Caenorhabditis elegans: one gene and its partners. The protein of the gene in region 1 purifies or fractionates together with the protein of each later gene. This does not show direct contact. Each region holds a gene or a part of one and is shown on either strand. Other genes may lie near its edges.

Region 1 (13,521 bases):
TGCAGTCTTTTATTAAAAGAGACAATACACTTTTAAAAAGAATTTTAAAAAAAGTCTGCACAACAGTGAACGCATTAATTGTTCCTGGGACCGTCGCTGTTGACGTGGCACCATTTCCAAGGGGATGGAGAATTTTATCTGAAAAAAATTGAAGAAATTCAATATTTTTTAGGATGCGCAAAAATTATGACAAAGAATTTATTTTTCATAAAAATTGTTTAATCTGAACAGTGCAATTTTTCCCTGCTTTCTAGGAAGTTCTAGTGGTGCACAAATATTTCGAAAGTTATTTCACCCAAAGTTTGAAGTGTTGCAGCTAATTTTTTGTAGAAACAACATTATTTTTCTGTTAATAAAACTCGGTCACACAGGATTTTCATTGGCAAACTAACTTTTAATTGCCACCCGATACGGTTTGATAATAAGCATACTGGGAAATGGATCAATTGCAGGAAACAAAGATACAGTCAGCGTCAGTGCCTGTCCATTGAACTTCTGAGCCTTTCCAAAAAATATAACCACCACTGCCAAGCCAGTTGGAAAGCATAAAAGGACTATTGGAATTGCAGTTTGGATAATCAATGAGTAGAATAATTGAGATTGAAGTGCCTTACAGGGCATCGATTGATTCTTTGACAGGCTACTCCATTTCTTCACATCCATGTAGAGTTTCAGAGCGAAACATAATATGACTGAGCATGAGGCAAACTGAAAAATTCAGATAAAAATGTAGGAATGTTTGTCGTTTATAAGGATATTGAGTTGGGGTACTGTAGGATTATTGTAGTATTGGGAAAGTTACGTTTTGAGCTTCTGATGGTAGGTTGGGGTCATTGGAGGTGATAGATTCGGGGTGTTGTAGTTGTTGTACTGTAGGGGTACTGTAGGGTTACTGTATGGTTTCTGTGGGGAGTTACTGTAGGGGTTACTGTAGGGTTACTGTAGGATTACTGTTGTTTTGTGAAAGTTACGTTTTGAGCTTCTGAAGTGGTGGTGGGTTGGAATAAGTGGAGTTGATAGAGTTGTAGAATTAGGATTACTGTAGTTTTACGAATACTGAGTTTTTTTTGAACTGATACTCAATTTTTTCGCGAAAAAATCGACTTAAACTTTTGTAGTAAAACACCCGTTTTTAACTCACCACTAGAGCTGCAATGACAAAAATCCCGAAATATGCAACCAATTGAGAATCTTCGGTTCGGAATTGGGAAGTGACTTATAGAGACTGAAGCCATAGTAGGCCAAAATTGGATGAACTTCTATGCCAGATAAACTAAAAAAAAATAATCTGACGAGTCTATATTAAATAACCTTGACTACCTCACGATTACGTCCATTTCTTTAGTCTGACCCAGGAAAAACTCAATAGTTAGTGCAAAAAGAAAGCCTCCAACCAAAGGGAAAAACAGCCAGACCCAGAGGATTTTTCCGGTTACATATTTTTTACGTCTGGAATTTAAGTTTTCATTCAAGGTAATAAAACAATTAGTTACCCGGTGACTGTTAAGTAACGAAAAGTCAAGTCTCCACTGAAATTGAACAATGTTGTCCCATAAGAGCCGCTCCAGCACACTGAATAAACTAAAAAGGTTCGTATTAAAAAAATTGAACTAACTTAGAAATATACTGGCAACCGATATAGGCAGAAGACTTTTATCCTCATCAGTTTGAATTATCCAAATTGATCCCAGAGTTTTTACTTCCTGAAAATCTTAAAAATTTAATTTTCCCGCCAAAATTTTTTCTCAGAAAATTTGAATATCCCGCCAAAAAATTTTCTCGAGAAATTTGAATTTCCCGCAAAAATTCATTTCAGTTTCTCAAAAACACTTTATATAGACTTCCGGCTCGTATTCCCATTGGTGAAACAATTTGCTCCAAGAGCTTCAGCCACAAATTTCTTTACTTCCGGCTTGAAACTGTGTGTGGCGTAAACCTTGTAAGGTTTTCCAAGCCAAGATATGGGCGGGGTCAAACTTTTGGGAGTTTTTTTTTTAATTTTAATATTTAATTTAAATTCTTTAAATAAATAGTATTGTGAAATATATGTGAGTTGGGAAATTTACACAACTCAAGAAAAATCGAAAATAGTCCCCGCTCACATCTTGGTTTTATTCGAGATTTTCCATATAACTATAAAACAAATTTTTTCGTGCCGCTTTTATCAAAATTTCAATAAGAGAAAAACCAATTTCGAAAAGCGACGTAAAAACCATAAGATACTTATAAGAGCCCATTGTTTTTGGAGATTTTGTCACAATTAGCCATATTAGTAGCGAATTTGTAAAAAAGGAAACGTAGGAAAGAGATTCCTGAAATAATTTTAGAAAAGTAGACCAGTCAAGCATTAGCATAGTCGGTTGAAGAGAGATGATATGAATAATAAAACATGATAACGACGAATCCTGGGGGAATTATATTTTTTTGGAACATATGTTATGTCAGAATCAGAAGTCTATTCTACTGATGTTTTTTTTATGAACAGTTACTAAAAAATGAGATCTAATAAGCTTCTATTCAGACACGGGAAAAACATATAAAACATATATTTTATTACAGCATTAGCAAAGAAGTTACCTCAAACTTCCGGTTACCATAACACTAATAAAAGTTTTGATTCAGTTTTCGCTTAAAATTACAACTTTAAATTTAAATTTTAAATTCCTACTACATTTTTTTTGGAAATTGAACAATTTTTATTTCCGTGAACTAAAAAACATTTTTGAAGAAAACTTTAAAACAAAATAATTGAAATTTTAAAACGTGTCAAATTGTGAAATGTGGAACTGATCTTATCTGTGCCCCTCTCAATTACAGTTTCACAAAATCAGTATTCAAAACTTGTCCATAAATTGGAATTTTTCGACGGATAAAGAAGTACCAGCTGGAATCAAAAGATCTTAACGATGATCTCACTGGCTTCCTTGATTGCCACCGCCTCGGCTACTAGCACCATGATTGCCTTGTGCTCCAGCAAGGATCGACAAGCGGTATGTGTTACAAGTAGCTTCAGGTTAAGATTCATCATGATTTTCAGGACCGTAAAAAGTCTAAGAAGGGATCAGCATCCAAGTCATCACGTGCTTCTTCCAAGTCTCGTAGATCCTCGAAATCCAACAAGGGACCTGGAATGTTCGGAAAGTCTGGAAAGTCTGGGAAGCCAAGCCATGGAAAGTCATCAAAATCCAAGAAGTCTTCCAAATCAGAAAAGAAGAAGCTGAGACGTGAGAGCAAGGACAAGTCGTCAAAATCGAAGAGATCCAAGAGATCCTCAAAATCTAAAAAGTGTGACAAGTCCTCCAAGAAGTGCGATTTGAACAAGGCTAAGGTAATTTTTCCCACAGTTTCTAAAACTAGAAAAAAAACCTTTTATTAATTCTAGAACCTCTGCCCACCGATCAACTCGACAGATGTTTCCGACGTGTCCATCAAATCGAATTCCGGTGAGAAATCCGAGAAGTCGAAAGCTCTGAAGTTGGTTCCCAATCAGCCAAAGTACACATTCCCGGAAGGACAGGGTGCTGCTTCAGTGAAGTCGTCGACTCTTCGAGCTTCGCCCAACAAGCTTCCATTCGCAGCGACGGGAGGTGTTCAGACAGTCAGCATTGCCAACAACACCAAGTCGAGAAAGGCATTCAAGGTAAGCAGAGGGAATTTGGTTTAGACTTAGGCTTAGAGTTAGGCTTTGGCTCAGGCTCATTAAAAATATAACTTTCCAGGTCAAAACTTCCGACAACCTTCTCTACCGCGTCAACCCAGTGTTCGGATTCGTTGAGCCCGGTGACAAGCTTTCGATCGATGTGCTCCGTCATAATGGAGTCGAGAAGACTGATCACTTGATTGTCCTCACATCCAATGCTTCTACTGAGCAGAATTGTGCCAAGGGAGTCTTTGAGAGTGATCCACCACGCGAGCTCACCGTCATTCCATTGGTTGCCAACTAGACTATGCCCAGCCCTCCATCATCAGCCTGTCTAAAGAAAAAGTGTCTCGAAAATGAATTTTTTTTTGATTGTGTGTGAAAATATGATGAATTTTGATTTGAATAAAGATTTTGATGGAGGTGATCTGTGTTTTTATATCTTGTTTGTTTAATGAAAAAAATCTTCAAAGATACTATAGTGTTCTGGTCATCGAACATCAAAAATTGTAAACAATTCCAGAGATCAACAACTTGCTACTTTTTGAAAGTCCCTCTATGACAGATTTTCTTACTGAAAAATTTATTAGATGTGAACACGGGGGAGCCAAGACGGGTTAAATGGGCTCTTTTTTTTATTTTTGGCAAAATGCCATTTTTTGGACTTTTGTTTTATCACAACTTTTTTCCTTTTGCACTTATAAACTCAAACTTTTTTCAAAAAATCCGTCTCTCTGAGTAGTATCTTGCACATAAGTTTCAAATAAAACAGAGCAAAACCCGAATTTTAATTCAATTAAAACATGGTTTTTTGGGGGTAAAAAGAGCAAAAAATTTTTTTTCAAACTGGGGAAAGCCGCCCTGGGCTCAATTTTGCTCCAAAATTAGTGCCGTTTTCTGCTCCACAAAAGGGCAAAATATTTCTAGTAGGATTTCAAATATTAGAGCATGAAGTCACACGGCTCTGTAGTTATTAATGAAAACAAAAGGGGACATTTTTTCGCGAGCCAAAAAAGTGTCAAAAAACGCGAAAAAGGGGCGGAGTCTGCACACTCGGCATTTATTAGAGGCGGCTTGGCAGAATCCAAATCTATGAAAACTTTTCCAAAATTCTAAAATTTTTATTTTTGTTTTTTTGTGGGGCCTGTATGAATTGTTGAAATTGGAATTCGACACAAAAACCCCTCTAGCGCGTCTGAAAATTGATATCTAGGTAAAAAAAAACGTACCGATAATATTTTTAAACAACCAAGAATCCAAATCCGGGAAACTTTTTATAAAACTCTTTGATTAAAAAAAAATCGATTTCCAAGTTGCTAAGCAATTTCGAAGTTGATAGTAATTTTTTCGATATGTCATCTTTTCGGTTGGTCATCTTAATTTTTTAAAGAGATGCAAATTTTGTAGTTTGAGATATTACAGTTTTCTCTGCAAAATGCTTGAAATAAATGGAATTTCGCTCCAATTTTATTTGAAAGGTGTTCCACTTGAATTGCTTGCCCAAGTATTTTTTTTCTGAAAACTTGAGTTTGATTCTCGCGTTCAAACTTTTCAAAAAGATTTGCCAAATTTATAAAAATATCCAAACGTGTTTTCTTCTGAAAAACTTTTACAAAAAATAAAATAAATTTGCACGTTTTCCTTATTTCCGTGACTTTTCATTTGATCGTCTTATCTCGTCATTGAAATCTTCCATCCCTGTCATTGCCGATGTGGACAACTTCCCAATCTACTGCTTTTCAAAAAAAGTGATAATCTTTCGGTGAGTTTACATTTCAGATGTTCAGTTTTAAACGAAACATTTCAGAGAAAAGTTCAAAATTGGTGTTAACAACAATGCAAATAACTAATTTTTATTTCATTATCGTTATTCAACTAGGATGTATGAAAATCGGTCAATCAGGTGAGTCAATGGAGTGATGGTATTCAATTTAACAAATTCCGCGACCGACGTTTCACAGGCCTACACGCTGGCGCATTGTGACAGGGGTGTGCAGCTGGCTGATGATCCTTTTGCTAATGAGATTTTCAAGCGTTGCCAGCGTGGTTAAAGACTTCCGGCGTGATTTTTGAAGGATGCCTGCAGGAAGGCCATGCCGGCAGCTTTAAAACACACAGGCAGCGATTGAAAATCACGCAAGCGTCGTCAGCAAACCACCCAGCAACGCGCCATCACCAAACAGATGCTCATGCGTGTTTTGTAGGCGTTTCGTGCTTGGTTCAATTATCTGAGGCGCCGTCGGTTGTGAGTACAGTTAAAAGGTTTACCAGAAAAGATGCGCCGGTGACGTTGCTGAAATCTGAAATGTTCTTTCTGCGAGGCCTGGGAAAGCTACTCGCATATCCAAAAACATTTGAAAAATGAAACTAATAAGCTTGACCAAACTATTCTTGTTACCTTCAACATTTCCAGCTTCATCCGATCTCCAAGCAATCAGTGAACAGTTTCGGATTCTATCGCGTGTCACCAATGCAATTTCCCTTCAAGCTGGAGCAATTAGGAAGGAAATCAAAGCTCGTGATCTTCTATCAGAACTTCTTCATATGCCCAGCGATCAGTTGAACACGGTTATGAACGTAAATGTGGAGGCGGCAAGTTTGGAGTTAAAAAGGATGCACCAAGAATACACGAAGTTGATTCAATTATCTAAAAATGATACACAAGCCTTGTCGGATGATGATGTTAAGGCTATGATGGCCACTTTGAGCTTCATATTGTTTTTCTCACAGCAATCGTCTAGCTTGTCAGCATTATCCAGTATCTCAACAAAAAAGTTGTTGAGTGAAGCCGGAACTCTTAGTAGTTACAAAATGTTTGCCACTAAATGCGCAAAGTTATCCTTGTTGGAAGATTTCATTGCTCTTTTTGACGACGACACAGGAGTGACCCCGGATTCTGCAACGGTTGCTGAAATTATCAATAATTTTTATATGGAGGAACAGTTGATGAACACATGCATTGATAGCTTGAGAAGTTTGGGTTCCAAAATAGAAAAATTGTCCAATTGGAAGGATTTAGCAGTCTACCGACAATTGCTAAATGGGAAGAACAATATAATTTGGTTTGAAACACACCGAGAATCCCTGTCATCGATGAATAGTACACTTTTGCAAGTTCTATCTACTTTTCAAACAGCAAAACCGCTTTGGAATAGCCCAAGCTCTCTCGGTCAGAAAATGGTTTTTGAAGCAATGGCTCAACTCAATAAATCAATCGTGGAAGCAAAATCTCATAATATTTCGCCAGTCAAGCAAAATTTGTTGTTCACTGCTGGCTTCAAAAACTCTGGAGATTTTTCGAAGATTGCTGGTGATTTGAATAGTAATTGGTTCAAGAAGCATGTTGCGAAGGGTTCAAGTACAAATTCACTGAGTAATGCTCTTGAAATATTTCAAACAATTTCGGGAAAAATGGTTGCTTTGGATTCGTCGTGGAAAGAATTAATGCATGTAACCAAAGGATTTCAAAACTTACCCGTTGTAGAAAGAGTTAACAATGCTGCAGATGTCGCGACAATCGGATTGAATTTCTCGAAACTGGAGAGAATCATTCAGGACTCGAGAATACATATCAACAACTGCATGAAAGAGACGCTGTTAGCAAGATCAAAGCTAAAATCATTTGATGCAAGCATTGTAGAGTATGAAAAGTATATGTTCCCAGCAGAGAATATTATGAACAGACTTGCAAACATCAAGGACATTATTGCAGAGCTGACCGTCGCCTTGAATTTTATGGTTTATCCGAATACACAGGCACGAGACCTGTTCAAAGATGACTGTCACACACTTTATTGGACTCTTAGCAAGCTTGACGTCAACACATCCAATGCGATAACAGTGAAAAATATGCTGATTAGGGATTTCAAAAAGCTCACTCATCATTCATACAGCTTCATTGACACGATGAAAAGCATTGCAAAAATCTCATCGGAGCTCAAAATTGTTGAAAAAACTTCTGCTGGTATTTATGACAGCGATGGACCGAATCTGGGTGACCTTGTATCGGAACTCGAACTGGTGAAAACTTCACAATGTTTCAGGTTAGTTTGCACGAAAACGAAAAATGCACAAAAAGTGAAAAACAGACAAGTTGTTAATTGTAAAACATACAAAATAAACATGTACAGTTACGTGTCGGTTGGTCATCCTTTGAAGGTCTAGTATATTCTTGCTTAAACTTAATTTTTCAGCCATCATTCTGAGACCATACAAGAACTGATGTTGATAGTTCACAAGCTTTACAGTACACGATACCCTCCTGATCACGCAACTTCATCAACAATGCATGAGTACCTGGATCGCCTTGAAAAGGTTTTCCAATTTTAAATAATTATTTTTAAACTTGATTTTTTCAGGTGCAAAATAATCTAGCTCTTGTGGAAAAGGAAATCAAATCGAGCTCTTCTCAGATAAATGCTACTAACAATCCAGTTCTTTTGTTGAAAACTCCTCAAGCTCTGATTAAAAACATTGGCACGAGCACCCGCGTACTGGAAGATCTTGAGAATGTACGACAGCACCGTCAGTTTCTTTTTTCGGTTCGAAACTTCACTGCTGATGTGAAGAAAGTGATTGTTGGAGAGAATTTGATAGAATGGTTTGATCCGGAAGAGAAATTGATAGAGTTGCTGGAAGAAGCTGATCAATTGAACGAGTTTGCTGGGAAATTGAGAAACGGAAGTTTAACGGAGATGTCACGCGTGTTTGACGAAGCGGCAAAAATAAAAGGAATCAATGGGGACTCACAATCATTGAACACTTTGTCAAGTAAGGACTATCAAATTTAAATTTTATGTTTAAAAAACTTTTACAGTTAAACTTCAAAAATCAGTTGGCATAGATCAGCTGGCTGCCTCGAAAGTATTCCAGAAGATTCGAGAGTTCAACTTGGATTTCGCAAAACATGAAGCCGCTTTGAAGAGTGCAAGTGTCACAGTTAATTCATTGGTTGCATATTACGATGAAATATTTGGAAATTCTAAATCCAAAATCCTAACAATTGAGAAACACATCGATAACTCATTTCCTTGGATCTATATTTTCTTGATTTGCATTGGATCGATGATTTTAATTGGATTGCTTTGTGTTGTTGCATATGGATTCACAAAAAACGGAAGAGCCAAGTACATGAATCTATACTTATACTATTTCGGAAAGCCGCTGGATTATGAAAGAAGATGGAGATATTCGGTATATTGAACTGGTGAAACTTTCACTTCATACTAAACTTGTTACAGTTGTTCCTTGACAATCAGGGTGGAAAGAACACTCTGTTGGATGCAGTTCGGGAGATTAACAAGACACATGTTGTGAAAGCTGTCAAGATGGGAGCCTACATAAATGCATTTAACAGTAAGATTAAGGAAAAGCTAAATTTTTAAAATTTTTGTTTTTCAGAGTTTGGAAACACAGCTTTGCATGTTGCCACGAAATCAGCTTTACCTGAAATTGTTAAGATTCTAATCGAGCATGGAGCAGATCTAACATTGCTCAACACATTGAACAAAACACCAGAACAGATGATTCCTCTCGCTTCTCCAGACCATTCAAAGGATATGGTTGAAAAGCTCGAGAAGATCCGAATGTTGTACAAAAAGGCGAATGGGAAAAAATACAGAATGAGTAAGTTTAGAATAATCAGAGATAAATTTACGAAGATTGTATTTAGGTGTTCCGCAAAAGTTTCCAGCAACTTCATTTCATATTTGGATGGACGAAAGAACTGACAACAAAATCACCAACGATTTTATGGAGAAGTTTCAGGCTATTGTAAGTGTTCTTTGCATTTCGTGTCTCTTGCAAATAATACTATTTTCAGACATCCGATGAAGCAGCCCCGAACACAACCCATGTTATTGTGAAGACGGATGAGAATGGCGTTCTGGAAACTGATGATCTTGACCTACTGTTCTGGGTGTTTAATGGAGCAATTATAGTGAAGGAACAATGGATGATAGATTGTCTGAACGAGGAGAAGCTTATTGAGCAAGATTCAAAGTATTTGGTCGATAGTGTCAAATACAAGGGATCCACTTTCAAGACTGTTCTTCAGTGGAGTGAAGCTATGGCAAAAGGAGCTATTCCATATCTGTACGGGGTATATGCAGCAATTGTCATGACGGAATGCAAGAATTGTAAGTTATTTCAATTAAATCCTGTTAATGTCCAATTTATAATTTTTCAGTGGTAACATTGAATACCCTTGTCGCAGCCCATGGTGGATTTATGATGAAAACCTTCCCAGGAAAGGATGCCTTCAACGTTGGCTCACGTCCATATAATCATGCAAATCTTGGACCACTGTTTTTGATTCACGATGGAACGGTTTGTAATTAGACCTGATTTCATTTGAAAAAAAAAACATTTATTCCAGATCAACTTGAAAGCCTATACTGCTGATCCAGACAAGATGTACACGCTGTTTACTGAAGAAGAGTTTATCAAATTCATGCTCCAAAGAAATATTATCAAAGATACTCGTGAAACACCGATTACTGTTTTGAAAGCTGATAAATAAATACTTTTCTTGGAATTTTTTAAAAGGTATGTGATCTTTGAGTCTTTGAGAGTGACGCGCGAGCTCACCGCCATTCCATTGGTTGCCAACTAGACTGTGCCCAGCCCTTTTTTGATTGTGTGTGAATATATGATGAATTTTGATTTGAATAAAGATTTTGATGGAGGTGATCTGTGTTTTCTTTCTAAAATTTAATTTAAAGATCTTTAAAGATCCTTAGTTTTCCTGTTTGCATTGTGTTACCAAACGTCAGAAAATGTAAACAATTGAAAGTTTACTTCAAAATGTTAACAAACATCCGCTAGAGCACGGCCTCTCTTCATTTCAAAAAATAAATAAATCGACGTGATGAACTGTCTCTGCGTCTCTCATGGGCGAAAGAGTGAGCTTTTTGAGCCGAATTTGTACTGAAAACGGTAAAATAGGCCGGAAACGGCTGATAGTGAACAAAATCTAATAAAAATTTACTAACTGCCTGATCAAACACATAGAAATTATATGAAAAAAGGGCAAAATTGTAAATCACCTATGAATACGCCCACATGTGAAAGTTCAAAATTAGTGATTTACCAGACAAAACTGATTAAAGCCGGCGATTCGCTGATAAATCTTTAAATTTTTTATTAATATATTGTCAATTAAGACTAAGTGTATCTATTTTTATGAAAGTTTACTTCAAAATGTTAACAAACATCCGCTAGAGATCAAAAATTTGCTCTTTTTCCTGAATCACTCTATGACTGATTCTCTGATTGAAGTTTAATGTGAAAATGTCTCTGAATAAGGCTTTTTGTGAGCGCGGGTTATACCCACCCGTTTCTTGCCCGGAAAGCGCCTCCAATAAAATATGAAAAAGAGGAAATAAACTGACTGCGAGAAATCAAAAAAAAAAAACATGGCGATAAATTAAAAAGGTGACAAAAACATCGATTTTTTTAAGTTTAAGAATATTCTATACAAAGTCCTTAAACTTAAAAATGTCTGGAAACTATTAAATAACTATAATAGTTTCCAGAACAAATATTAAATTTATTAATAGTAGGACTTGATTTTTCGAAAGTATATATATTTTTGTGAGAATGTTTTTGGGGAATGAATAACGGTTTTTTTAAAAATATTTTAAAGAGGTTTATCGATTTTTTGATGAGTTTTTAGGTTTTCTACTAATTGTTCATACTTTAGAAACAACTATTTTTTGGAACCATCGATTTTTGGAAAACTTTTTTTAAAAATAAATTATCTTTCAAAGGAAATTGTGGATCTGGAAAAATTGGAAAAATTGGAAAAATTATCTGGAAAATTTATGGATTATAAACGGAAAATCCATATTATTTGGAAAAAATGAGCTTATTTAACGCCAAATATCAATAAATTTTCCAAAATATCTCTTTAACATTGTAGATCAAAATGTTCTTGTACTTCCTAGACTTATGATTAATTTTCTGATCGACTTCTGTTCGTTTGCTCTGACTCACCGAAGAGCACCGAAACACTAACGAAATAGCGCGTTAAACACATGGAGAGCGGCAGAGAAAACACACAAACGAATTGAGCAACTCTGGCCATTTCTCTGACTTTGTGCAAAATATGAGGAGAACCAAAATGTTCGAGTTGAAATTGGTTTATAATGTCGGAAATTTCGGAAAACTTTGTAAATTCGAATAGAAAAAGATGGTCGTCTACCCAGCTGAAGTGATGGAAGTGTCAACTGCTTCAGCCCCGAATATTTTTGGAGTTTATCCATATCTTCTGAAGTTTTCACCTTTTAATTGCGAAAAGTCAAATCCTTTGAGATTTGTTTTTATGATTTTTTCATTCATCACATTCTTGGCGATGGTTTTTCGAGCAGGATATATGCTTTTTTATCTCGATGTGAAGGTTAGTTTTTGTTTTAAAAGTATCTGTTGACGTCTGCTAAGTCCTAGATTTTCAGGCTCTCACATTAGGATTTGCCGAGCAAAACCTATACGGTTTCATTTCGATGGAATCATTCTGTCTTGTCATTGCTCTTTTTAAAATAACAAAAGTTGGGCGACTGAGAAAAGTGGAACAAAAACTCGCAGAAATGCGTGAGATGAGGGTGAGATTTTGAAGTTCTGCAATAGAGTCACGATTCAACTTTTCAATTGTGATGCTTTTAAATACCGCTTACATACAAAGCTTCAACAATCGATTTATTTCCAGATAACCTCCTTCCACGAATCTCACGACAAGTATTGGAAACTGTGGATTGAACTTTTCATCTTCAATAGTTTTAACCTCGTGCTTTTCATTGGAACGGCCATCTACTTACTTTGCAATAGAGTTATTATTGTTGGAACGTAAGTTCAAGAAGACTACTAGACGTTCACCTCAACCATTCCAATCTGAAATTTTTTCAGTAAAACCAAAAGCTCCTGGTACTATTATTTCGATGCTCCGGTTATGATTCTTTGTGCATATGCAAACTTCCTTCATCTCCCAATTCATGAACTTATTCATACTGCATTTGCAAGAGAATTCCGAGTTTTCAATGATGAACTAGAGAACGCTTCGAAGAATAAAGAATTGCTTGTGAGTGAAATTTCAGGACTGTAACTCCAGCCAAAACATAAGCCTAAGCCTTAACCTAAACCTAAACCTAAACCTAAACCTAAACCTAAACCTACGCCTAAGCCTAACCTATGTCAAAAACTTAACTGAAGGTACTGTTTTGTATGATTCTTGTTTTCAGAACCCTCAAACTTTCCAAAGATTTGCCGATCGTCAAATTAAAATGTTCGAATGCATAAATCCATTGACCGAACGAATGAGTAAGATTTATTCACAGAAGTCTTAATTAAACATTAAAACTTTTCAGATCGACTTATGGCCTTTGCACCACTTTTCATACTTACTGCTCTAACAAACGTGCTGTACCTTGTGACAAAGTACGTATTTATTTGAAAAAAATTTAGCTTTTTTTCACTGAGGTATTACAGCTTGAGATCTGCAACTCATACATTATACTTCATTTGCATGGTCGGAATGCTGATATCATGTATTATAATATCAAAGATTCTTCTCTATCCTCCAGCTTTAGTTCAGGAAGCTGTAAGTCATACTTTCTCTGGAATCCAATAGTAGACAAAATTCAAGCCAATTTTGTACAACAAAAAATAATCAGCTCTAGAGAAAATGCCCAAAATTAAAATGTTCTACCATAACGGCCTGAAGCACAAGTTGCTCATTTTCAGATGCTCCACACGTCTACTGTTCTTATGAACGACCAATTCATTCACCATTCCAAGGATCCTCAAATCTACAGTATCTACCGTACCATGGTTGATCGATCGATGCACAATCGATCTGTGAATGTCGTAATACGAATATTCGATGTGAA
Region 2 (9,571 bases), on another chromosome or scaffold:
TAGATAAATATTTAAAATTTTCACAGCATCGATGCATTTTGGACATGTGTTACATTAAAATCATAAACATTATTCCATAATATCAAAACTTATTCAATTATTTAGTGAACAAATATTACGTTTAAAAAACTTTGAATATAATCTGAAACAGTACACACCTTTTTAAACTTATTTTGAGTTTGTCGAGACAAAATCTTAATGTTAAGCAAAATGAACACATTTTTTCGCAGATTCAGAAAAATTATATTATGTTTTCGATAATGTCGAAAAATATTGTGCATTCACTGTAATCAACTTCTAAACGTAAATATAAGTTTTATTTTTTTGTTTTCATTATCTCAAAATATTAGGTTGAGCAAAAAGTCTTTGCAACATTTTGAATTTTTTTTGGAAAGAGTATTTATTAAAAGCGAACATGATTCAATGGGTAATACATTTACCATTAGTGTCTATGGCTTCTTGCCAACCCAACGGACGTTGAGCAATACCCTCCGCACAGAACTCCTGAGATTAGGAGACAAAGAAGTCGTCCAACAACGTTTCGACGACCTTTTGATCATGAAACTTCTGTCCGACAAGGTGATTCTGGAGTGAGCGGAACAAATGGTAATCAGTAGCGGACATGTCCGGCAAATACGGTGGGTGAGACAAAACTTGGATTCCAAGTGTCTGGAGCTTCTGGCGGGTCCTCAAAGCTGTATGCGGTCTTACGTTGTCATAGAGCAGCAACAATTTTGATCCTCCTAGGGTGATGTAATCGATGAGCATAGATCACCTTATCCAATTGAATAGAGTACAGGCCAGCGTTGATTTTAACGAAAACCTGGAAGAAGCTCTCTGAAAATAACACGCTTACTGCCCCGCCAAATTGAGAGAAGCACTTTTTCTCGTAAAGTTCTCTTTTGAGGTCAGGTTTCACGGTTTCACGGTTTCCTCGACCGGGGCCCACTGTTTCTTTCTGGTATGGTTAACCTACAATACCCATTTATCATTTCCAGTAATAAAATCCCTAACTCAGCCCGTCGTTCGTTTTCTAGTGAGCAGCGAAAGAGAGTGGTCACAACGCAAAATTTTCTGAGAATCGGACAATTGAGAGGAACGAGTTGACCAAACTTTGGAACCCTTCCGGTTTCGTGGAGATGGTTGATGATGGTTATTTGGGGATGCTTGAGAGTCGCAGAAAGTTCGCGGTACGTTGCTCGTAGATCATCTTCCAGGGCTCTCGAAATATCCTCATCGATATTCCAACGAGAGCGACCGGAGCTTGGTTTATCATCGAGGTCGTATGTCTTTTTCGTGAACTTTTTGAATCAAAACTTCATGGTATTATAGGTGACAGAGTTCTTGCCTAACACTGCACACGTGTTACGTCGAGCTTCGTTGCACTTGCAGCCTTGGAGGAACTCGTACAGAAAAACTCCTCGGAGCGCGTGGCGTTTGGCGAGCAAATTCTCGGTCATTTTGAACAGGACCCAAATGTTTTTTCAAATGCATTAAACATGCACATCACGTACTATACCAACAAAAAAACAAAATGGGAAAAAAACAAGTTAACGCTGAGAAATGAAGAAAAATACAAATTTTGCAAAGACTTTTTGCTCAACATCAACAAAAAAAAACAGAAAATTATTTCAGCTGTTTTTGAAACAGCATAAAATTACCAGTTTTTACGCGTTCTCAGAAAAAAAAAATTCTCAGAAAAAAAAAATTCTCAGAAAAGTCCCGACTAACCTCTTAAAAACGGCAATCTTTGCTCAATTTTTGCATTATAAGTGTTTTGAGTCCTCGTTGGAACCGTAATTGGCTCAACCTGCGCCACCGGAGCCACAGTGGTTACTGTAGGTAGTTCAGTAGAGACTCCAATAGTGAATGATTGAATTACAGCAGCCAGGCTGAATACAGGTAACAGAAAAAATAAGAACATTTTTTAGAGTTCAAGTGGTAGAGAAAGCGGAGGGAACACTAAAAAGCGAACTTTGAAGCATTGAAGGGGTCAACATAAGTCTCCAGGCTAATGTTATAAGCCGTTAGACAAATAAATACACCTGGCGGGGAGAACGGCTTTCACACCTTTTCTTAGAGATACATTTTGTATGCATTTGAGTGCTACTGGGGAGGTGAAAGAGTACATAAATAGAATAATAGTCTGTGCAATGTTTGACAGGTTGTTGAACACCTGGGGGAGACAAATATTTTGACCGGGCGTTTGGCTGGAACAGAGCAAAAAGTGTTGTCAAACTGTTCAATTTTTAGAATAAAAAATATATAAAACTTATAAGAAAAAAAAACTTATAATTCTGTTGATCAGTTTATTTTTATGTTGGTGAATAAAAACACATAGTGAAACATGATTTTTATAAAACATGGAAAATTAAAAAAAAAATTTTTTTTTTGATTAACCAAAAGATGAGCACTTTTGTTTACAGCAGCAGACATCTTGAGGGTCTACTTCAAGTCAGAAAACTATGAGTAAAAATATTTTCTAAACGTATTTTTCTGTATTTTTTATTAAATAACTTCATTTTTAATCTACTGGGAAATCGAAAATTTATCAGTGATATTTTAAAAAATCTAGACTCAATTTTGGGTTGAATCGGAGCTGAAAGTGTTGTCGAAGTTCAATGTCAAATTTCCTTCATTTTTTTTATATGATCCCAGGATTAAAAAATTTTCAACTTACATGGTTAAAAGTACATAATAAAACGGAACATTTTTTTTTTTTGATAATTAAAATCAAAATCTAATTTTTCGTTTTTCGATTAAAAAAATTACGAAAATTAATAATTCACGCTTAGCAAATTGATACAACTTGATGATTGCTCCCAGCACCGGAAAACTTGCGGGTTTTCTACTTTAAACTGTGTGAGTTAACCCATGAGATGTCGGGTGCTGTGTGAAACACCATATTCTTTTTAAACGTTATTTTTTAATATAGAACATTATATTATACATAATAAAAATTAGTTGTGAAACTCTCTCGAAGTGATCATTAATTTAAAAAAAAGTGACAATTGTGCACAAGCCATAAAAATTTACAGTTTAAGAATTTTTATACTTTTTAAAAATTCACAAAATTTAAAAATATAGGCCACAAAAAATATTGAATTGAAAATGTTTATTCAATAAATCTAAATCTTACCTGTTACTGGTTTTTAAGAGGAATTTGTTTTACGAAATTTAAATATTCAGCCAAAATAAATATACAGCGTCGACGGCAAGCCGAAATTTTCTATAGAACGTTTTATATTATGCTTGAATATTTAATGAATACCTATAACCATTTGTACTGCTGGTTTTAAGCTGGACACATTTTGTATAGTGCTGAAACAATTTAAAAATATTAAATTTTCCCATCATGTTTCATTAACTCTGTTAATATCGACAAACTGGAATTTTTCATTAGAATGCTGAATTCACTATTCTTTGTAATTTTCAACGTCAGCAAATGAACAATGCGCCTCCTAAATATGTGCGTTTAAAAATTAAAAAATAAAGTTTAAACAAATAAATAAATAAATAAAGTTAAATAAAGTTTTAAAAAGTTTAAAAGGTTAAAAAATAAAGCAATTCAAATAATAAACATTTGGCGTTTACTTTTTAACATCATGAAACAGTAAATTATTTGACAATGATTTATTAAAAATCCATGTATAGTTTCCAAATGAATGTAATTTGAAACCGCCTTTTATTAATCTCATGATAATTTTCATCATTACAAAAGTTAGAAACTGAACTTATTGAAAATATGAACAAGTTAATTGTAAACATTAGTATTTCGGTTTAAATAATTCAAATATATTGCATGGCATTGAGCACACATTTATTGTAACAAGATTTAAGTTAAAATGAATTTTCAATAATTCCATAGTTGTCGAACTCAATTTTCATTTGATGGCCCATCACACAACCGGATCTCATTGCAAAAATCATTCGTTTGAATAGATTTACATCACTGATTTTGCAAGTTGGCTGGTTTTTCAGTTCGTTCACAAAGCAAGGTAGGTACACAGTAATCCTATTGCAATCATCATCATCGAATTTCTTGAAATTCTTGTAACTTGGAGCAGGATCACAAGAATCAAAAATCTTGCGTAAAACTCCATTCCCAAGACATGGCTCCAGTTTTCCATGAAGTACGTCTAGAATCCAACGTTGATTGAACAAATATGACTGCAAAATTCTTGAACTATTGCAATTTAAGAATCCAGAACAATCTAGGACGTGAGTGACTTCTTCGATTAGTGCAAGATTTTCTGATTTCTCAGGACGGGGAATTTCATCAATTCTTGTGAAAAGACGTGGATTCTGAAAAGGGCATACGATTGAAAATAAATTAGCAGCACCCTACATCATGCGGGTTGGCTATGCGACTAGTCTTAGCCAGAGCCTGCTAAATGTGGGGCGCTCCTGAATCAATGACTTACCCTAACACAATTCATTATCGATTTGTATTCCACTTGACATTGCTCATTAGTGACAATTGGTGGAGGGGTACCCCATTGCCCGGAGACCAGAGGTAACAGGAAAAGAATGTAGAAAATCATGATTTATTTTTTTCTGTTTCAGAACGGTCTTATATATTTTTGAAAAACAATTGAATCGGTACTTCTTTGTTTGTATCAATTTTAAAGTTTAATATAACATCTGACTCATTTTCCCGAAGAAAAGTTTTTTTCAATTGAAAACGTATTAATTCAGAACAATTTTTTCACTGTTTCGGTGTTAAATTAAAAAAACACCGGAAAATTTTTCCAGTTACAGTTTCTTTCCTTGTTCCATCCAAAAATATAGTTAACGTTTCTGGAAAAATATCGCCTTAAGTTAAATATTATTTAAACGTTCTTACAATGTAGTACTAGGCAAATTCATATTTTATTACTACGTTACCCACTAAAGTACTGTGACTTACTATTAGAAATGTGCCCAAATAAACTAATTTTGTGATAACCCCTGTAAAACTTCTCAGCTTTAGCTGAAATCTCCAAAACGCGGAGTATTACGTGGCAAGAAATTTCGATAAATGCTCAATTTGAAATATTTTAGTGTTGTATCTATTTTTATTGTACTATCACTGTTTTGTAAGTTTAGATAATTTTTAAGCCAAACGCTCAGATATCAGGGTTTTAAATGCACTGAATTAGTTTCCATCTCGTATCAAAATATTGAGTTTAATTTTTGTACATGAAAACTTATATACAACTTGAAACGGTTGTCAACTTTTTTTAAAGCATAATCACTTTCTACTACATCATAAATATAAAAAATTACACACACAATCAATAATTTATCCAAATAATTGCAAATTTCAATATTTATGATATCCAGGCACAAAATAGACGTTAGTACTTCCCATACTCAATGGATGAAGGAACATTGTAGCACAGATGATCAATGTGAATAGGACGGCAGCAAGCGACATTCCTGAAAATTGATTTAGATATGGTAAATGTGACTCTCAAAATGAAATTGATGGGTTGTCGTGCTTCGAAATCAACTAAAACGAAGAACGGCAGATGCGAGTAGTGTATTTGAAACAGTAAAAAAAAATAGTAAATATGAAAATGTTCATAATTATCATAAGTCATAGTTTGGATTATTATGAAAACAAACGTACACTTATGCTCATTTTAACTACTCAACTAATAGTAAACTAAATACTGAGTCCTTATGAAAACTATGTGAAACCGCATAATATTTTTTCTTGTTATATATTTTTCTCAATTCTCACCTTCTGCAAATTGAATATTATAATTTGGCATCAATCTCTTTTCACACGAAAGTGGAGAATATGGTTTGTGGAACATTTCTGGCAGGTTAACAGTATCCAATTCCAGATTTCCAGAAATAAAAACTGGAAATTCATTTCCCGTAATCTTGACATCCTTATTCCAATCCACAAATCCACGCATATCACGGAGTCTTGTATTGTTGAGAATAACGAGTCCAGGGAATGAATTATGAGTTTTAATACTGACAAGATTTGGCATTTGAGGCATTCGATTGAATGGAGAATTGATTAGTGAAAGGGTTCCACGGATTTCACGCTGCAAAAAATAAAAATGCGGTTTCAGATTCTTTATTTTAGAAATTCAACATTACTCAGATAGATAACACTTAGAACAGAATTCGAGAAATTTCATCATTTGATAAAAAGTACAGAGTGCCTGCGCCCGGAAGATGTCGGACGCTGCATTTTCAGAAACCAACATACATGTCACCTTACCAATTTCTCAAAATTTGCAGCTTTCAAATTAATCACTCTCAAATGCAAATTTCCATGAAACACTTGACACCAGTTAGGCCACTCGAGGTAGTTCTGAGCGTCACGTTTCAAATTTTTAATGTTGCAGTGGAATTGGTTCGGGATTCCATCTGAAATACAGTTATCTAAATATCTAATTGGAAATTTTTTTTTAAATAAGCGTTACCTGTATCACAAGAGCTTCCAACTTGAGCCAAGACAACCAGAGGGAGCAGTAGAAAATTTAGAATGCAAAACTGAAACATACCTTCAATTGTTCGATTTTCTAGAAAAAAAAGTACTCACCATTCTGATTGTTGATTTGTCCAGGAAATAAATTATATATTGCGTATGAATTTGAAACGTCGTGGAAAATGTGCCAAAAAACGTTCGATCAAAAAGTTCACGGAAAATGTTTGTTTCTTTGTTATCAAAATAAATTGATAAATCATAATTTTAGATTTATACAGTTTTATCATAGAAAAGTTCAATTTGCACCCGAAAAAATATTCCAAGTGTTTCAGAATATTGTTATCAAAATTTTATTTGAAAGCATAATATTGGGATTGATGCAGTTTCACTTTAATTTAAATATTTAAATAGATTTCGATTTACCACTTAAATGAAATATCAAACAAAGCAAAAACAAAATGACCCCAGTAATTTGAAAACATGTTTAAACCTAATATTTCACTTCGACATTTTTTTTCGAATAATGTAATAGTTTTAAAAAATGTTGAATCATTATTTTCTTCTAAAAACGTTTTTTTTTCTATTATTTGAAAATGACAAGTTCATTAAAATAAACTGTGCGGTCAACATTTTTTGACTTCAAATTAGAAAAATACAATACCAAATGTTTCATAGTTGCAGCGGCCGACATCTATCGGGTTTGAAAACTAGGTAGATGTCGGGTGCTTGTCAGACTTCCCAATCACTGCTATTCCTAGCAAAATTTCGTTACATTCGCCGCGTCAGCACCACCCGAATATATTGTTCTCCCTAATATTTACCGACACATTTCGGCCTCTCCAATCCAAATTTAAAAGAGTATATTTAATTTTTACTCGGAACAATCTTTGCTCTTTTCAACACAATTGATTCTTTGATTTTCAGATGGGCTTCCCCTTTCGCCAATTTTCTCCCGAACTGCTCAAAAAGTTTGCATAACGTGCACGCAAAGTTTTCGATTTTGATCTTTGCGTACTTTGCACCCAATAGAAATATTGAAATTTGCAAACGTGACAATCTGAAAAATATGAGAGTTCAATTGACAAGTGACGATGTTTTTAATAAATTTTTTAACGGAAAATGTTTTTGGTTTTTATCTCCAAGAAGATTGCAGAAAGTTTTGTTCCGGTCCAGAAGAATTTAGCGTGGTTTGGAGCCAAAGAATCATTTTTTGAAAACGCCACAAAAAATTACAGTAGGTAAAAACGTTCTGGAAAATAAATAATCTAAAGGTTCAATCGAGCTATAATTCATACGTTTTGCTTACAACTCAAAATTTTACACAGATTTACTGCGTTAACGTTCATTTCTAAAGATACTCATTCGAACAAGGCAAGTTATTGACAATGAGAAAATACACCTGTTTCATATAAACGTTGTGAAATAGCACAATTTTTTTTTCTTCAAACTATGTCAAACAATTTCTACAGTTTTTGTATCTTTTTCATCTTATATCTTATATCTTTGAAAATGCTATAGTTTGGGTTACTATTCAAAAATATTTTACAGAAGAGTTTTTAAATTTTAAATAAGAAAAAAAACTAACTGATCCTGAAACCAGCATCCTAGATTTAAAACCTAATTAGTTATATACTTTTTCAAATCACCGAGAAAAATCTAATTAAATTTTTTTTGGTTAGTTTGCTCAACCAAATATCAACTTTCAACAACTTGCAATTTATTCTACTATTTCTCATTGTTAATTAACGCTTGCCCAAAAAAACTACCACTCAGTAGGCTTAGGATACCTTCAAATTCGATCAAATATTCTCTAAAATATTTCTGTTTCACATTGTTTTGAAATCGATAAATCATTCTTACCATTGGTTACCATTGCTAACAGATTTTTTTTCAGCTGCATTGAAGAGAAAAATTGCATTATCAGGTTAAATAAAAAATTTCAATCCAAAATTAAAACAACTGAGCAATATGATTGATCAAATGGCATATTCATGCCAGTTGTGAAACATATCCGGTTTTTTAAACCAAATCTTACGGCCATTTTTATTTCCATTGCTTTAGGGAATTCTAATTTTGTTTTTAATGTTATTCAAATTGAGTTTTCATATTTCTCACAATCAGCATTTTGACACTGTAAATTCAAAGTGTCCAATCGCTTCAAGACTGTTTTTTACAAATTCAATCGACACCACTTGATTTCTATTTTTTATTCAATAAAACCATGACAAAATTTGACTGAATGCCTAAAAAATCCGAATTCTGAGAAATTCGGTGCCTCTTTTTGAGATGTTACTGAGGTTTTTCAATTTCGGTTTTGACATTTATTATATACTTTTTCTTGATACAATACTTTGACACTATTTTTGAATTCGTGAAATCAAAACTCAAAAAAAAAAGACAATTGAAAAACCTTTGCAAGCCCTATATTTTTTAAGTGAAATCAAATTATCAAATTTTAAATCAATTCGGTTGAGCCACACTAAAATGGTAAAAGCAGGACCTTCATCACTACAAACTAACTAAAAAAACGCAGAATGTACTTACTCGTTGATTCCATTGAAATAATAATTATGGAAAATCACAAAACTTGGCGAACACAATGGGGTCGCACAATTGTGGAAATTTTGGAAATTTTTGTAAAAACATTTCCAGAAGAGTACTGTAGATTATCCTAGACTGTACGTACAACAAAAACAATGATTTGTTTTTTTTTTTGGAAAATAGAGGAATTAGTGTAATGCAGAGTTTTGAAAAATAGCTGGCGGCTCAATTTTTTGGTTTTTAGTAGATTTAAAAATTTTCTGACTGTTTCACTTATCTGATAAAGCTGGTGGTTAAAATAGAATTTAATGCACCTTCCGGAAATCAAGATTAATTGTAAAAATTCAACCCGTTTTATGAAATCTTCATACATTCTTCATTTAAGAACAATTTTCAATCTTCAAAAAGTATTTTCCAGATAAAACATAATTATACCGTTTCATTGATTACACAAGTATTTTGATACAAGTACTGTGCCATTAACTGATGTGTTCAACTTAAGTTGTTATATGGCTCGTTGAAAACAATTCACAATATAATTTACCGGCTTATCAAATCTACTATTTTTATTCGCAGGTTTTTAAACAAGCATTATTT
Region 3 (9,501 bases), on another chromosome or scaffold:
AATGGTCAGGGTCATGATAAAACCAGGAAGCAATGGAGATACGGAAGAATGCGTATAAGTTCAGCGAAATAGATACAAGGAAGTGTTATTTAAATAAACCAATACATTATTTGACCGATTTTTGGAGATTAAGTGATTATTTCTTTGAAACAACTCAATAATCATTTTTCTCGCTTGATAATTTCTTGTTTAACACTAATAAATAAGAGATACAAGGAAGTTCCTTCTTAATAAGAATGTATTTATGATCAGTGATAGAATGATCATTTGGTGCGGTGGATGTCATCATTCCCAGCCAGGGGTGGGTGACAAGATACGAAATCCTCGTCCTTCTCGTACTCATTCCGAGGTTTCTGTGCCGCCAAGTACTCTGCTACGTCCAACGGATCCAATGACAATTGGCTTCGTAGTTCCGAACAATTGTGTATTCTAGATAAAAGCTATTCATGTTTGTTATTCAAGGTTTTGCTATGAGAATATTTAGCATTTTTAGCACAAGTTTACAACTGCTCAGAAGAGCAGGCCACTACGGCTCCAAAATTCATTGGCTCCGTGCGGTCATCAAGCCCTAAAGGACTGCTTCACGCTCGCGGCCTGCCCGTCTCCCTTTCATCGCAGTTGGCATCTCTACCAATTTGATGGGAATTACGAGATACATACTGCAGAAATGATTCTGTATAGTATGGTCTCGATGAAAGAACCGCTGGTCTTCGAGGTGACTGAGCGCGGCGGCCGACACATCACGGGTTCCGCCTGAGACGATTGTTTGTGTACGGGGGAGACACGCCCACTTCATACTTTGCAGTGACTATGAGTCGCCGGAGAAATGTAAAACGAGAGAAATGAGATCTATGACCTATACATCTTTATTTATGATTTCCAAACAAAAATTATTATTATCCACATTTCACAGTAACTTCGGCAGGATTCTTAAAGCGAAGATCGACTTTTCCAAAGTTGTACACTTTCTTCTCATCAGGAGTCTTCGAGTTAACAGTGACATTGAGTGGTGGGATTGGTTGGACGATTTTCCGATCGCAACGATGTGGAACTTCTTTAGATTCCCAGCATCTGTGAATGATAACGACATAAGGAGTAATCATATAAGCATCAGTTGTCACATAGGCTTTGAAATCAAATTCTCCTTTCTCGTTTGTCCATCGATCCATAAAATCTTCGTATCTGACTGAGAGTAAAGATTTTAGATTCAGTTGAACGATTTCAAACTCTCTTACACATTTGTGCTTCAGAAAAAATGTCCATTGGCATGTTGGCAGCAGGGACATCATCACACACAAGTTGTCCTTTGATATGCACGGAAAAATCTGTCTGCTTCACGGCCAGACACGTGGCAATAATACCGGAAAGAACAACAACTAGCTGAATGGGAAAACTTTAACTTCAAAAAACCTAACTATATTACATACCATTTACAAACCAGTTTGACCACTAAAAACTCAGTTGAACTGTATTTGAAACTAAATTTTTCTCGGTGTACGTGTCGATATTTATTTTAAAAAATTGCCACGCATTTATGTTTTCAGTGTTATTTTTCTTTTAGTCCTTGACAATTAATATTAATTGCAATTTCCAACATATCAAATAAAAATCAATGGGTACGGTATACAACACCGCAAACACCGTCACGTCAAGTCGCAGACTTTCAACAGCCGCTCCATTTTTATTTCTTATTTTTCTAGTTTTTCCGTTTATTTTGCGAAATATTATCACTTTTTGATTAATTTTATTGCAAAAATTTACAATTTTCAGTTAATATACTCATTGAAAACACTTTATTAACGTAGCTTATTACGTTATTCCTCCTGCGGTATTTAAATTTGGTTTTTCTATTCGCCACTACTTTTTAAAACGTTATTTTGTTCATCATTGAGTATTCAATTTTCAGAAATGACCGTATATCTCCCTGGCGACGTTATCAATGAACCTTCTTCAAGCGATTCCTCAATCATTGGCTACGGAATTAGTGTACGTGGCCAAACGAGAATTGCCACTCAACCTGGAGCTTTCCACAACGATGATGGAAAAGTCTGGTTAAATGTTCACAGCAAAAGGTAAGAATGATCACGAACAACATTTAAAATCACAATTTTTCTTAAATTCAGATATATACCACAGGAAGGAGACCGAGTAATCGCTATTGTCACTTCAAAAACTGGTGATTTCTTTCGTTTGGACATAGGAACTGCCGAATACGCCATGATCAACTTTACTAACTTCGAAGGTGCTACTAAAAGGAATAGGCCGAATCTAAAAACTGGAGATATTATTTATGCAACAGTTTTCGACACAACTCCAAGAACTGAAGCAGAGCTTACCTGTGTGGATGACGAGAAACGAGCACGTGGAATGGGACAGCTAAATGGAGGATTCATGTTCAAAGTTAGACACGAAATTTACTATTTATTGTAAAATTTAAAAATTATTATAGGTCTCCTTGAATCATTGTCGTCGACTAATCAACCCATCTTGCAAAATTCTTCAAACTGTTGGCAAGTTCTTCAAATTCGAAATCACTGTTGGAATGAACGGAAGAATCTGGATTAGTGCTTCGACTTCTGATGATATTATCAAGATTCACGATATTATCAATAAATCAGAGTTTATCACTGACGAAGATGAGCTTATCACCCTGGTTCAGAATAATTACACACGATCTGTCAGTGATTAAGAATCTTTATCTCAATTTTTAATTTTTCAGTGTAATTCCTGCTATTGTTGATTTTTTTTTCCTTTTGTTGTTGAACTTTTTAAAAATTTAATTTATCGTCTTGTTCTATGTAATATTTCAATTTTCAACGTTTCTTCGTTGTTTTAATATTTATTACTCAATATTCTCAATTCACAATGGAAAATTTTCGACATTCAGTATGGGTGAAGGCTTAGTGGAGCAACGTCAAGCTGACGATAAAGCATCTTGGGATGCTTACTGGAAAGTTCGTGATATCGATTCACGAGGATCCATCTACCCACGATTCCGTTATTATGCCCATAAGGCTTTCGACGCCCCAGCAACTTGGTTCAGAGGTAATTTTTAAAATTCTCAAGTTGGAGAATCATTTAAAGAAGAAGCAGCTTTGAAATTAGATTTAAAACCATTTACAAAATGTAAGAATTGACAGAAAACAAATTTCGTTCAAGTTTATTTACTTTCACCATTTGTTTTAATTCCAAGTAATTGATACTGTCTACGGTTTTATCCAGATTCAAAAAATTTGGGAACTTGTGGTGCAAGTAAAGGTTAATTTCTAATTCCCATATCATTGCTGTAAATTATAATTTTAAACTAGAAAAAAACCAAAGTTATTCGACTACCTCAAGCTGATGTACAGTTAGTAGTTGCAGTTCCACATAATAAATCAACTAGGCAAAACAATCCATTTTAATCTATTCTACTAACTCGTCAGCTTTTCAGAGACTATTGTGCAACCACTCAACAACAAGAACCGTCTACCCTACTATCACCGTCAACTTACACGTGTTCCGGAAATCGACGAATGCGGAGTGAACGACAAGGCCTGCTTCTACGAAGCCAATGAGCAGTACCGTCTTGATAAAATGGTCGATGGATTTATTCTGCAAACCCTCCGCCAACGTGTTGATCGGTGTATGCTTTACAACAATCCTGATCATTCACCATGTGCCAAGGTTATTGAGGATATGGAAGAGAATGAGTTGAATTTCTTCATGAAATACGGAGAGTTGGGAGGAGAATCCGATGTTCGTGATGCTTATATGAAGCAGAAGCATCGAATGATCTGGGAACGACGTCATCCAGAGATTATGGATGAGCGTGCAGCTAAGCTTGCTGATCATAAAGCACGACTTGCTAATGGAGAGTTTGACTATTCATTCTGGAAGAAGGGAATGTTCTATCAAGACAAGAAGAACTATGAGCCACCATATGAGTTCCAAATGAGCAAGTCAGCACTCGAGGGTGACAAGCCATTGTCCAAGGATTGGGAATACTACAAGAAGGTAAATATTCTTTCAAGATTTAATTTTAAAAAAGAAGCTACGAGAGAATCCTGGATCGAAAATTAAAATTTTATATTTTCAGGTCTCACAAGACCCAGAATTCGACAAGGATCAAGGAAAGAAGTCCGACTTCCGTCTCTTCTAATTCTACGCTGTCAATCTTTTCTTTTTCAATGAAATTTTTTAGAACGAATTGTGTTGAGTTTTCTTATTCCGTCGTAACAACTTTTTTTTCTTTTTCATGTTGCGTTCTTTTATTCCATTCAGAAAGTGAATAAATGTAGATTGTTTGATTGATTTATAAAGATTTGAATATGAATTTATGAGAAACGGAAATATTACCAGTCAGCTTTTCTTTTCAAATTAATTTAAATCAAAATTTAACTTTTTTAAGTTTCGGAAATGATACTGACATTTGCACGAAGTCTCTACACACAGGGGCAGTATAACGGAAAAATAAGGTTTTATTTTTAAATTAATTGTTTCTTTTTGAATTTGAGTTTTCAGAGAATATTTTTACTATGTGAGCCACAATGGTTTCCTATTTCTGGACGATTCGAGAATGAAGAATTTTACAGCGGCTTATAAAGGTTTATTTTACAGGAAAAACTGTTAACAAATCGAAATTTCAGATATTCAGTTTCTTAATTTCTTCTACAGAAAGATCAAGGAAAACAAGACGGGAAGATATGAGGTAAAACGCGAAATTTGCGATTTATCAACAAAAATACGGTAGCCGGTCTCGACACGACAATTTTTGTTGAATGAGAAAAGGTGTGCGCTTTTAAAGAGTACTGTAATTAAAAACTGTGATTTCTGCCGGATTTTTTTATTGATGTTTCCAATTCTTTCTATAAAATAATTCGACAGAATCTTAAGTTTTAATCTACAGTAATCTTTAAAGGCGCACACCTTTTCTCGTTTAACAAATATTTGTCGTGTCGAGACCAGGTACCGTATTTTTCACTTCAAAAATGTTGAAATTTCGTTTCTGGGTAATCTGAAAGTGTTCTAGATTTTCGATCAATTCCTATCGAATGCAATTAATTAAAGTTTCATCCATTGAATTGAGCTTAAATACTCAATTAAAAAATCGTGGAGGGAGCTGAAAAAAAATTATATGAAATTTCAGGATACATTCCCGTGGGTAAGCCTTTGTGGAATTGAGCGAAACTTTCTGAGATGCGACGACACTCCACTTGTTTACACGGAACTCGACTCCACTGAAAAAGAGCTCCGAATCGGGCAATCAACCATTTACCATTCGTTTCAAGTAAGATGAAGCACAGATTTTTCAGATCTGTATTCTAAAATTTCAGCCCTCATCACTTTCAATGAATTCAAGCGGCCGTGTTTATCACAAATGTCCGATTGGTGGAAAAGCACTGGTAGCTGACAAATTGACGGATAAACTGTATCGCCGGTTCCGATTTGACGATGACGGCGTTCCAGTCGGATTTCAGTGCGGGGAGCAGATAATTGAGCTTAAGAAATGAAATAAATAATAATTAATGTATATTGTCTGATGGAAAGTATCTAATGAAGTATTTAAAATAAAAATAATGTTAAACGTGAACCCTTTTCAAATTTATTTCCACGCCCTTTGGCGGCCTTTCAAAATCGATTTTTCAAGTTTTCGTTTATTCCCTGATCTTCCGGGAGTTATCTCCTCCACGTTGCATTATGGATGTTTGTAGGATTTTCAATCGGATAGGTCAGTTGCGAGACGTAACATTCTAAAATGAGCTTGTTTGGATGGGTCTTGCCGCGAAAACTTTACGGTAGCATGGAATTTAACGCGTTACCATAAACTTTTGATCGCAACTAGACCCACTCAAATAAATCTGTGCGCCTTTAAGCAGAGAATTAAAATTACAATAAAAATATTAAATATCGATGATCACCCTTTTTCAGTATACTTTTTGGTGGAAAAATCGTTGGGCGATATCTCGAAATTCGACCCATTTGATGTATTGAAGCTCGTCGCATTGTGGGGTGGACGTGTGAGATTTTTTGATAATTGGAAGCACAACCAGAGAGAAAGGCAGAAATGATAGTTTTTCAGTTATGTCTGCTGATTTTCGTGGGCACACTCTGCAATGTTACATATGTGGTAATCTTCAAGATGATACCAGTTGAATGGAAGTGAGTGAAACCTTCAATCTTCCACTCAGGCAAGAAATGCCTTCCTGCCTGCCTCTAGGTCGGTTCTGGCACCAACATGAGTGCCTACCGCGAAAAGTCCACGCCAATGGAAAAGAAAGTAGGCGTTAGGCAGGCAGGCATGATAAACTTGCTGAAACTCTATTTAACAATAGTTAAAGAAGTGTATTTTCAGCGAATGCCAAAATATGTCGTTCTTCGTGTTCCGTTTTGTGCTCCTTATCTACATTTACTACAGTGTCGTTTTTCACTACTACAAGGCCCGGACTCTGACACCTGTTGTGAATCCAGGGGTAAGCCTCCAAAAACAAAGATATGACGTCATAAGCATAAACGGTCGTCCGAAATCAAGCATTTGAGACAAATACTGTAATACACATTTCTCCACGAGGAGTACACACAAAGAACGTAAATCGACACGTTCTTTGTTTTACAGTCATTTCTCAATAAGCTAGAAATTGTAGAGCCTTTTTGAGATTTTTTTCTTAAAATTTCAAATCAAACTTTTCAGACTCCCAGTGACTCATTTTGTATCAAATGCAACAATTGGAAAGGTCCATCAACATCTCATTGTAAAGCTTGTGACAAATGTATCTACCGTATGGATCATCATTGCCCTCATATTGGACAATGTGTTGGAGCACACAATCAGAGCCACTTCTTCCTTTTTCTTTTCTATCTTCAAATTGCAACGGGCCTCTTTTTCTTGATGGCTACAACGTTTTGGATGAAATGGATAGAGGTTGGTTTGGTGCCTGCCTTGTGCCTGCCTATCCTTAAACTAGTAAATTATTAGTCCTTCAGACTCGTAAAGAACTAACTGCAATCCCGGATGATCAATGCTGGCCTCCATATTGTTTTAATAGATATTACTACTTGATTACACGTTCTCAAGGAAGTATGTCTGATGCATTTGAACCTTTCTAACTTCTCAAATTCCAGCCGAAGACACTATGGTTAAATTCGCATTTTTCCTTTTCGTAACACTTCATTGGATTATGTGGGGATTTGTTGGTGTCTACGTAGGAATCATTTCATTTGGATTAACTATGGCGATGAAAATGGTAATCAAATTGGCAACATCTGAACCAATTCAGAATTTCCAGTTTCAAAAGTCGGACGCTGAATCTCGTAAACCTTTCACTTGGTTCACAATCAAAGCTCGTTGGAGAAAATACATGAACTGTCAAGATGAGCCACTTTGGAAGATATTTTTTATTCCGAAAACCCGCAAAATTGTGTCGTATAACGATTATAAGGAGTTAATTATGTAGAATTATTGTAGAATTGTCTAATTTTCTCTTTTTTAATGTGGTTTTTTATATTGAGTTTTTTTGGTTGGCAATAAAAGGAATTGAAAATCGGGTTTTTTGTTGAAAATTGAAGAAATGAAGGTTGCTCAGAATCACTTTGATGGAACCAAAATAACAAATATCATGGGATAGAAATTTCAGAAAATATACTTTTTGTGGAATTCCAATTTGGAGCCGCGCGATTTTGTTAGGGCTTGGTGAGATGGAATGAGCTCGGCTTGTTTTCATATTTTTCCAATGACTAGTTTCTTCCTGACTTCAAGAAAAAACTTGAAAAAAGCAACAATGCAAGCGAGCTCCACCCTGCAAGCTCACATACAGCGTGGATGTTGAAATTGGAATTTGGTAAATGCTGAATTGGTTTTCAACAGGAAATAATGTTTTTTTTTTCTGGAAGTTTTTAAAACCATTGAAAAACGTGTTGACCGCCCTTCTTGAACCGTGGATTTTTTCTTCTAAAAAATCCAAAAAAATTTATCACAAGTTCTCATACTCTCGTTTCTTCCTCGAAGCGATGAGCACGACAAAATCGATAAAAATCAATTCAAATTCAAGTTTGACGGAGAGCAAGAAGACAACCATTGATGATGAGGACGAGCTGATTTTTCGAAAATCTTCGGATCCCGAGCCGTATCAACTGGGAAATGCTCCAGAATGTGTTTATTCTGGATGGAATATTTTCATTGGAATATTCCTCTTATTCACTACGATCTTCTTGGCGTGAGTTTCAATGAAACTGTTATTTTTTTACTTGGAATCTTTCAGATCAGGATCGGTCGCATCTATTGTAACTCAATGCTTTGGACTGGCTTATGTAAGTTATGAAAAGTATGGGTTCGTTCCACCAACGTTCCGCGACCAATCATGAGGCGTCACAAAAATAGCTGATTGGTCGATACTTTTTAAAATAAAAAAAACCTGCCTTGTGCCTACACGCGTTCCTACTGCTTAAATGAAAGCAACTGTAATAAGAAAATGAATAGTAATCCTCCAAAAATAGGCGGTGGGCAGGCACCGGTAGGCACAAGGCAGGAAAGCACGCCTGAAGGCGAGCAGCAAAACTTGATTTTCAGATATGTGCTGGCCTACTGACATCTGTTCTTATTCTCAAGTCGACACGTGTGATCTTTGCGATACTGACTGTGTTCTCGGCTATAACAATTATAATGACTTCTTTGACTATTTTGGGATTCGTTTATTCAATTGAAGGATCTATGCCAATGCCAGAACTTATGTTAAAAAGTGAGTTTTTACTGGAAATACATGCGTAAAATAAATATTTTGCAGATCCAACATTGGAAATAATTCTAGGAGGTTTACTTACTGTGCACATTGGGTTGAATGTCTTCTGTTTCTTTGTATTTTTGAAGAGATCTTTGTAAGAAACATGAGAATTAAATGTTTTTTTTTTGAAAAATTAAAAATTACAGTAAAAGTGAAGTAGCACCGGAGCATGGGAATATTGAAAGAGCAAAACGTGCATCTGCTCCAATAAAATTGGAAAAGGAATCTGGAGAAGTTATTGTGATGGATTATTTTTGAAAGAAGAATAAAGAATTTTATTCAAATTTTATTGCCAATTTCTTCGTTACTGAAAAATTCCACAGTGACACAGAAGTGTCTTTCTGTCAGCCTCAAAGACATGATACGCCTGCATTTTTATCGTGCCTCCTTCCAGGAATACACCCGGTTTTAATATCTAATTTAATGTTGAACAGGAAAAATGCTCACTACAAAATGTGGAAAATGGGCTGTAGCAGTGCTGTGCGGCTCTTGAAAAAAGTCGGCTCTCGGCTTACGCCGAGAGCCGAGTCTGAATTATTTTTTCGGCTCTCGGCTCGCGCCGAGAGCCGAGTCAAAATTATTCTCGGCCTTTTTTGTAGGCATGTAGGCAGGTACTCACCTGAAACTCTTTCAACCATATTTGGAAACCCAACTTTTTGCAATAGTGTTTCGTTTTGAAGAGGCGATTCCATAGGCACGTGCCTGAATTATTTCGAATGTGAAAAACTGAAAAAGCTATACAAAA

Evidence for each region.
Region 2: the proteins of F36D3.5 (region 1) and ule-2 fractionate together in Caenorhabditis elegans (co-fractionation; one large-scale study listed by BioGRID). This does not show direct contact.
Region 3: the proteins of F36D3.5 (region 1) and exos-3 fractionate together in Caenorhabditis elegans (co-fractionation; one large-scale study listed by BioGRID). This does not show direct contact.

What each region holds. Positions count from the first base shown.
Region 1 is NC_003283.11:16,507,016-16,520,536, reverse strand, and holds F36D3.5 (BRCT domain-containing protein), read left to right. Parts: upstream 1-5,296; 5' UTR 5,297-5,402; intron 5,403-5,447; 5' UTR 5,448-5,476; coding exon 5,477-5,543; intron 5,544-6,053; coding exon 6,054-7,683; intron 7,684-7,833; coding exon 7,834-7,954; intron 7,955-7,998; coding exon 7,999-8,410; intron 8,411-8,456; coding exon 8,457-8,833; intron 8,834-8,880; coding exon 8,881-8,995; intron 8,996-9,040; coding exon 9,041-9,265; intron 9,266-9,311; coding exon 9,312-9,412; intron 9,413-9,461; coding exon 9,462-9,777; intron 9,778-9,827; coding exon 9,828-9,967; intron 9,968-10,016; coding exon 10,017-10,160; 3' UTR 10,161-10,175; downstream 10,176-13,521. Other genes in the region: F36D3.4 (Major sperm protein), read left to right, coding at 2,907-2,990, 3,038-3,328, 3,383-3,640, 3,720-3,944; srr-3 (Gustatory receptor), read left to right, coding at 11,832-12,038, 12,094-12,240, 12,345-12,481, 12,542-12,713, 12,874-12,952, 13,000-13,069, 13,121-13,232, 13,376-13,521.
Region 2 is NC_003282.8:14,630,104-14,639,674, reverse strand, and holds ule-2 (Uterine Lumin Expressed/locailized), read right to left. Parts: upstream 4,550-9,571; 5' UTR 4,545-4,549; coding exon 4,425-4,544; intron 4,306-4,424; coding exon 3,841-4,305; 3' UTR 3,651-3,840; downstream 1-3,650. Other genes in the region: srlf-27 (SXP/RAL-2 family protein Ani s 5-like cation-binding domain-containing protein), read right to left, coding at 1,732-1,924; irld-4 (Receptor L-domain domain-containing protein), read right to left, coding at 5,306-5,421, 5,729-6,044, 6,224-6,372, 6,429-6,498, 6,548-6,550.
Region 3 is NC_003279.8:10,516,473-10,525,973, forward strand, and holds exos-3 (Exosome complex component RRP40), read left to right. Parts: upstream 1-1,906; 5' UTR 1,907-1,908; coding exon 1,909-2,072; intron 2,073-2,123; coding exon 2,124-2,400; intron 2,401-2,449; coding exon 2,450-2,689; 3' UTR 2,690-2,786; downstream 2,787-9,501. Other genes in the region: nlp-4 (Transthyretin-like family protein), read right to left, coding at 897-1,186, 1,236-1,380, 1,428-1,430; ndub-10 (NADH dehydrogenase [ubiquinone] 1 beta subcomplex subunit 10), read left to right, coding at 2,889-3,045, 3,434-3,996, 4,079-4,141; UPF0598 protein F59C6.12, read left to right, coding at 4,399-4,457, 4,504-4,586, 4,629-4,690, 5,129-5,269, 5,316-5,492; dhhc-12 (Palmitoyltransferase), read left to right, coding at 5,680-5,710, 5,911-5,999, 6,062-6,141, 6,335-6,452, 6,671-6,901, 6,964-7,057, 7,102-7,223, 7,266-7,433; F59C6.3 (uncharacterized protein), read left to right, coding at 7,987-8,192, 8,238-8,286, 8,546-8,714, 8,760-8,850, 8,903-9,014.